Linked DNA regions of Sus scrofa. The protein of the gene in region 1 interacts with the protein of each later gene in a pairwise test. Links are inferred from orthologs where the notes say so. Each region holds a gene or a part of one and is shown on either strand. Other genes may lie near its edges.

What was found.
Region 2: the proteins of MYBPC1 (region 1) and FHL1 interact in a two-hybrid assay, tested with the Homo sapiens proteins (2 studies listed by BioGRID and IntAct). The link is inferred for Sus scrofa from reciprocal best matches to the Homo sapiens genes MYBPC1 and FHL1.

Annotation. Positions count from the first base shown.
Region 1 is NC_010447.5:82,595,477-82,599,292, reverse strand, and holds part of MYBPC1 (myosin-binding protein C, slow-type), read left to right. Parts: intron 1-356; coding exon 357-462; intron 463-1,907; coding exon 1,908-2,074; intron 2,075-3,405; coding exon 3,406-3,568; intron 3,569-3,816. UniProt on the Homo sapiens protein: Thick filament-associated protein located in the crossbridge region of vertebrate striated muscle a bands. Slow skeletal protein that binds to both myosin and actin.
Region 2 is NC_010461.5:111,362,622-111,366,437, forward strand, and holds part of FHL1 (four and a half LIM domains protein 1), read left to right. Parts: intron 1-670; coding exon 671-852; intron 853-1,064; coding exon 1,065-1,239; intron 1,240-1,858; coding exon 1,859-2,028; intron 2,029-2,466; coding exon 2,467-2,653; intron 2,654-3,228; coding exon of another isoform or gene 3,229-3,428; intron 3,429-3,780; coding exon 3,781-3,816.

The DNA.
Region 1 (3,816 bases):
AATCAAAGAATTTTTGTGTGATAGGTTCTCCTTCACCAGAAATGTCTACCATCTGGTATTTTATCTGCCAAAGGAATGATAATTGGTACATTTTTTTCTGCTCTCTAAAACCATAAGTTATTAGATTTGAAGAGTTCTTAGAAAGTGGAAAAAAACTTACCAGCTATTTATTTTGCCATGAGATGTCATTAAAAACAAAAAAACCTGCTACATACCACCATCTAACCGCAGCACTATGATAAATGATATTTTCTTATTGTTGGGTTTTCATCTATGAAAAAACCTAAGGTCAGGAGACAGGTTTTTGGACATTTAATAATTCTGATTCCCCCCCTCCTTTTTTTTTTCCATGCTAGAGCCTCCAGTTATGGTGACCAAACAGCTGGAAGATACAAAAGCTTACTGTGGAGAGAGAGTGGAATTAGAATGTGAGGTGTCTGAAGATGATGCCAACGTAAAATGGTAAATAGCTTTCCTGAGGTCTGTCCATTTTTAATAGACGAAAGAAAGGGCCCTTCATAGCTTGGAGAATAGGAAATTGCTTTTGCACATATGAAAAGAAACTCACCTTCACTCGTGTTACTAGCAATTATAACTAAAGCTTTATCAAGATACTGTGAAAATGAAAACTGAGAAATGTCCAGAAATCTGTCTTGGTAGGGATATAGGGAAGCAGGCACTTACGAGTAAAGGGATGGCTCAGGGTTCCCCAGGTCTATTTAACTCCAAAGTCCATGGGTGCTCTATACCATGCTTACTCTTACTATACCATACTGACAAGTTACATGGAAAAATTGTTTTCATTTTATTACTAGTCACTTTATTGTTACCGTATCTCAAGAAAATATTTTAGACTGAGAATTACCAATTACTTAAAAAAATTTTTTTAATAAAAAGCATTTTTTAATCTGATGGGAAGTGTTTTCTCAAGTTCTCTGCAAATAACTTCAAAATTAAAGACTAGAAGACTCCAAGCATTCCTGTTGTGGCTCAGCGGAAGTGAATCCAACTAGGATCCATGAGGAAGCTGGCTCAATCCCTGGCCTCGCTCACTGGGTTAAGGATCTGGCGTTGCTGTGAGCTTTGGTGTAGGTCACAGTCGCAGCTTGGATCCAGCGTTGCTGTGGCTGTGGTATAGTCCGGCAGCTGCAGGTCCAATTCAACCCCTAGTCTGGGAACTTCCATATGCCATGGGTGCAGCCCTAAAAAGTGGGGGGGGGGGGGTAAAGACTAGAAGACCCAGAATCTTAAAAATGAAATACTTTTTTGAGAAATATAGTAAATTATGCCACAGGAATCTCTAGTAATTGGTACAGAATAGATTGTTCATTCTAATCTAGAATCTTGGCTATCTTTCCAATGTATTAAAATGTTATTCTTACTTGTGTGTGTCAAGAGCCCAGACGTGGATAATACCCACTCTTAGTATCTTTATCTGATTGATCTTGAACGGAAAGAGGGGGCTTATTTTTTTTTATTTTTTGTCTTTTTGCCATTTCTTGGGCTGCTCTCACGGCATATGGAGGTTCCCAGGCTAGGGGTCTAATCAGAGCTGTAGCCACCAGCCTATACCAGAGCCACAGCAATGCGGGATCTGAGCCGGGAGTCTTCTACCTACACCACAGCTCATGGCAACGCCGGATCCTTAATCCACTGAGCAAGGTTAGGGATTGAACCTGCAACCTCATGGTTCCTAGTCAGATTCATTAACCACTGCGCCATGACGGGAACTCCCAGGAGGGGGCTTACATTTTTAATGTAATTTTTCAGGAAATGCTTGCCCAGTATTAGGCCACTGATAGATTGATTCATAAGTGCTTTAATTCAGCAAAGAGTCTTTGAATGTTTGGTATCTGTATCCTGAAGAGTCTTTTATAAAACTTTTTCCATAATATATTTTAACTCAGGTTTAAGAATGGTGAGGAAATTATCCCTGGTCCAAAATCAAGATACCGAATTAAAGTTGATGGCAAGAAACACATCTTGATCATAGAAGGAGCAACAAAGGCTGATACTGCAGAATATTCTGTAATGACAACAGGAGGACAGTCATCTGCTAAACTTAGTGTTGACTGTAAGTAAGACTTCCTTGGATGTCTTCCAGGTGGTTTTCCTAGTGGTGTTGCATTTGTTCATTCAACTCAATCTATCCGATTTCTACTTGTGACAGTTTTAAACATGTGACGTTAGATTCCATTCTAGTTGAGTGTCTGTGTCATATCCATCAGGGTCTCTGAGAAAAGAACCTACTACTCAATTTAATAGTAGAATACCAGGAGTTCCTGCTGTGGCCCAAGTGGGTTAAGAATCCAACTGTAGTGGTTTGGTTTGCTGCAGAGGTGAGGGTTCAGTCCCTAGCACAGCACAGTGGGCTAAGAATACAACATTGCCACAGCTACACTGGGTTCAATCCCTGGTCCAAGAAGTTCCATATGCTGTGGGAGCAGCCATTAAAAAAAATGTAGAATATCAGTATTGGGAAGGAAGTATAAAAATCACCTGCCACAGAGTTATCCAAATGGTTAAGAGATATTTTAATCCTCAAACCATATAAATGGTTGATAAATACTTAGATATGATATCAAATCCTGATATCCTGTTTCCTTAATCCATAGATGAACTTACTATCTATTCATTAAACATTCAGCATTCTACAATTTGGAGTGAGGAGTTACTCAAAATAATGGTCTTCAGCTGAGAAGACTGTAAGGGCGAGTTTGCGGATATTCTTCAGCAGCGTGAGGGAAGGCATGTTCTTCCCCAAGGCCCCCTGGTGATAGTCAGTTCTTAGCGGCAGAGTCTGTCACCTCCAGTTAGCCATGAAAGTTAGAATAGCAAATTTCACAAGAAGATTAATAAGAAATGCAGAGCAGAAATACCACTTCTTTACTTCTTTCTTAGTCTGGGTGTGATTCATATGATCATCGAATTATTTGGAAATAATCTCGGTATACTCCTTATGTTTTGGGGAATGGTAGTCATTTGAGTATAATATCAAAAAAGTTTTTTTCAAGCATAGGCAGATCCTTCTCTGATATTTTTATCCATTTAAAACAATTACAGTCGGGAGTTCCCATTATGGCTCAGCAGAAATGAATCTTACTAGCACCCTTGAGGATGCAGGTTTGATTCTTGGCCTTACTCATTGGGTTAAAGATCCAGCATTGCTGTGAGCTGTGGTGTAGGTTGCAGACCCAGCTCGGATCTGGCATTGCTGTGGCTGAGGCATAGGCTGGCAGCTGTAGCTCTGATTCAACCCCTAGCCTGGGAACCTCCATATGCCACAGGTATGACCCTAAAAAAAAAATTATTATAGCAAAACTGATTGTACCATTGTGAAATGAAACCATCTTGACCTGTCTGGAGTTGGAATTTGTCACTTATAACCATCTATTATTTCTGTAGTAAAACCTCTGAAGATATTGACACCTCTGACTGATCAGACTGTAAACCTTGGAAAAGAAATCTGCTTGAAATGTGAAATCTCTGAAAACATATCAGGAAAATGGACTAAAAATAGTCTACCTGTTCAGGAGACTGACCGTCTAAAGATTATTCACAAAGGAAGGTAAGCAAGCTAGGGTGATCCCTAAGTGAGGACTGGTGCCCATCTTCACTTCTTCCTAGTTCCTAAGTTACACAATTGGTGAGGATGTTTGGAGAGTAGTCATGGGGAGAGGATCTATTTCTCACTCTTTTCTCCAAATAGCAAGAGTATGTGATTTGCCTGTTGTACATCATGTCCTACCCGCAATGCTACACCCATACCTTACAGTAAGCTGCTATGTTATTTCAAAACCCACTGACTGAGTCTTC
Region 2 (3,816 bases), on another chromosome or scaffold:
TCCGCCTGACACTTTTTACAAAGTCATCCCCGCCCCCACCTAGATGCTGCTTGAAGATGGCAGTTTTGCAAACTGCAGGGTCCTGAATCCTGACACTTCATGGACTCTATTGATCCTCACTTGCTTGGATGAAGGGGGATTTGATTTTTGGCGCGTCACGAAGCCAAACGCCACTGTGACAGATAGCTCACGGGTGCAGAACTGATTGCTCAGGCCTCCAGAGTCAGTAAACTGTCTTGGAAGTCATTCTGTAGGATCATTTCAGGGATTACAAAGTGCTCTGCCAGATTTGAAATAAATGCTTACGCACTGCTCATGTCCCTAGCATGGTCTGGTGTTGGCAGAAAGTTTGGGTTCAGATGCGCTGAATTCCGTGGCTGGGAGCGTGGGGGCCTTCTCCCTCCCCCGCCAGCCTCTCCTCCTAGGAGCTGCAGACGCTGCCCCAGCGGCCGCCCGCCCAGCTCGGCTCAGAGCCGCCTGGCCCCCTCAGTGTCCTCTCAGAGGCAGTGCAGGGGGATGGCCCAGTGGGACCCTCTCCCGGGAGCCCAGGGACTGTCTGTTTCATCGCCGGAGTCACCAGTGAACTGCCTCTGGCCTCAGCGCCCTGGCCGCAGTCCCCGAACCCCTTGGCCTTCGCGTCTCATTTGTTCTGCCTCCTTGCCCCCCGCAGGCCCCTCCAGCTACAAGGTAGGCACCATGGCCGAGAAGTTTGACTGCCACTACTGCAGGGACCCGCTGCAGGGAAAGAAGTACGTGCAGAAGGACGGCCACCACTGCTGCCTGAAGTGCTTCGACAAGTTCTGCGCCAACACCTGCGTGGAGTGCCGCAAACCCATCGGCGCTGACTCCAAGGTAGCGCCCGTGGGGCCAGGGTTGGGGGGGGGCAGGGCAGGGCCGGCGCGCGGAGGAGCAGCCACACTTCCATCCCTGGCTGGCTGATGGGGAACACGGCCAGACGCCAGCCCTTGCGATTGTCTCAGGAGTGGAGTCTTCCAGCCTCCCCCGCATCCAGGGTGTCAGGGACTGTGTCATCCTGACGGCCACCCCCTGTGCTCGGTTCCCAGGAGGTGCACTACAAGAACCGCTACTGGCACGACACCTGCTTCCGCTGCTCCAAGTGCCTTCACCCCTTGGCCAATGAGACCTTTATGGCCAAGGACAACAAGATCCTGTGCAACAAGTGCACCACTCGCGAGGATTCCCCCAAGTGCAAGGGGTGCTTCAAGCCCATCGTGGCAGGTACCGGCCACACTCAGCCCCGGGGCAGCCAGGGAGGAGGCCCTGAGGGCAGCGTGGCGCAGGGGTGCTTGTGATGGGGATGACGCTGGCGGGAGCCGCTGCCGGAGGTTAGCATATATATGCATGCATATATACACCCGTATATATGTGTACACATATATGCTCGCACACACGCACACACTCGGCAAGTAAAGAACCCTGGAGAGAACGGGCTGTGGCAAGAGAAGGAAGCGACAAGTATGTAGCGCTTTCTCATTTGGGTTTAGTAAGTGATCGAAGCATGCTTCTTCCTGGGGTGCTGTTCCTGGTCAAGGAGCCCCTTCCCACTGGAATCTCTTGAGTCCATGCAGGGGGTGGGGGCGCGCGGCGCGGGGATTCAGGCGTCTGAGCCCCACAAGGTACAGCCAGGTCCCCCCCCCCCCCCCACGGACAGCGTCTGGGTCGGCATGACCGCACGGGGGGCGCGGTAGGGGAGCCCACGGGCAGGGTCAGGGGAAGTGTGAGGCCAACAACTGCAGGGCCTGCGTTCCCTCCCCTCTGGAGGGCCCAGGGAGGCTGAGCGGATGCAGCCCCCTGCAGGGCACTGTCAGTGGGGCTACCCCCTCGCTTCCCCCCGCAGGCGATCAGAACGTGGAGTACAAGGGCACCGTCTGGCACAAAGACTGCTTCACCTGCAGCAACTGCAAGCAAGTCATTGGGACAGGAAGCTTCTTCCCCAAAGGGGAGGACTTCTACTGCGTGACTTGCCATGAGACCAAGTTTGCCAAGCACTGCGTGAAGTGCAACAAGGTACGTTGTCAAGGGCGTTCTGCGCTGGCCATTGTTTCTAGAAGCATTTGACAGTTTGCAGAGCACTTGCACACACACTATCCCATTCCATCCTCACGACAGCCCTGCGACGTAGGAATTATTATTCTCGTGTCACAGAGGAGGAGACCGGGGCGGTCGAAAGCAGCGCCCAGGCCGAGGCAGGCACCCTGACTGGCTCTGGAGGCCGGCCTCCGCCACCCGGTTGCCGCGTTAACCTTGCACACGGGCTCGCCTTCCCCGAGCCCCGGTGTCCTCGTCTGGAACCTGGGGATAATAATGGCACCTGCCTCCCATGGCCGTTGTGGCGATTCAATGAGATACTGTAGACCCGAGCGCCCAGCACAGTGCCTGGCACGTAGTAGGCATTCAACAAAATGGTTGTTGAATCTGAATCCGGTGCTACACTCCCTGGTCTAGGCCATCACATCTGGAGGAATCACTTACCAGGATCAGCCCTGGCATGCCGAGTGCTTTGTGTGTGTTACCTGCTCTAAGAAGCTGGCTGGGCAGCGTTTCACCGCTGTGGAGGACCAGTATTACTGCGTGGATTGCTACAAGAACTTTGTGGCCAAGAAGTGTGCTGGATGCAAGAACCCCATCACTGGTAGGCTAAAGAGTCCTTGCTAAGTCTGCCAGGCTAGGTCTTGCGCATGGTAACCATCTCTCATTTTCCTACGTCGTCGGTTTCATCCACAAAGGCCCCAGAGAGTGCCCCCTCCCCCTGCCACTGTGGTCCCAAAGGCCCCCAAATAGTGCGGATTCTCCCCCAGGCCAGGTTAGCCTTTGCAACACAGAACACTTCTGACTACTGCCGACTAACTTACGATGCTGCCGGAGATCACGAGCCTGAGACCCACGGCCACGGGCAGGCACTGCGCGGGGATGCTGGGGGCGGGGGAGGGGCGGGGGGGGGCCAGGCGCGGGCTGGGCTGGGGTGCGGGAGGGGAGCGGGGGAGGGGGGGCGGCGAGCCAGAAGCTGGGATGCAAACACCCCGTAGGGGAAGGTAGCTCAGAGGTGCCAGTGGGCAGGTCTTTTGCGATCAGGAGCCAAGCGAATCACTTCATTCCTCATCTCGCGGCCGCGGTCCACGTGCCCTGGGCCCTCTCCCCCGTCTCCAATTTTCCCATCTCCCGGGGAGCCTTGAAATGTACATTTGAGAAGACTTTTGCCATCCTCAGGGAAAAGGACTGTGTCAAGAGTGAGCCACCCAGTCTCTAAAGCTAGGAAGGCCCCAGTGTGCCACGGGAAACGCTTGCCTCTCACCCTGTTTCCCAGCGCCAACCTCCGGGGCAGGCATCCGGGTGGAGAGAGGACTTGTCCCTCGTGGGTGGTGGTTCTTTATAGAAAAAATCGAAGCTTAGCAGCTCCTCGAGGCCCGGTAAGTGCACACCCCACAAACGGCCCAAGTTTGCCTCCTGGTGGCCACTTTGATGCCATGGCCCTGACCTAAATCAAAGAAACTGGTTGTGCTGGGAGGTCGGTGCGCGTCAGTCACAGGGCGATGGCGGTGGCAGGGGATGTGGGTTCTGGAAAGCACGGGAGCCCTCGGCGGAGCTTTGGCATCTTCTCAGGTCCCGGCGGCGCGGGGGACGGCGGCGCGCGCGCGCGGTGGAGCGGGGGGCCGGGCGCCGGGCGGCCGCTGCCCGCGCGCTGGTGGGCCCCGTGGACGGCCTGGCTCCCACCTGTGTGCACTCAGCTGTCGCTCTTGTTTGCTTTTGTTTCCTCCGCAGGGTTTGGTAAAGGCTCCAGTGTGGTGGCCTATGAAG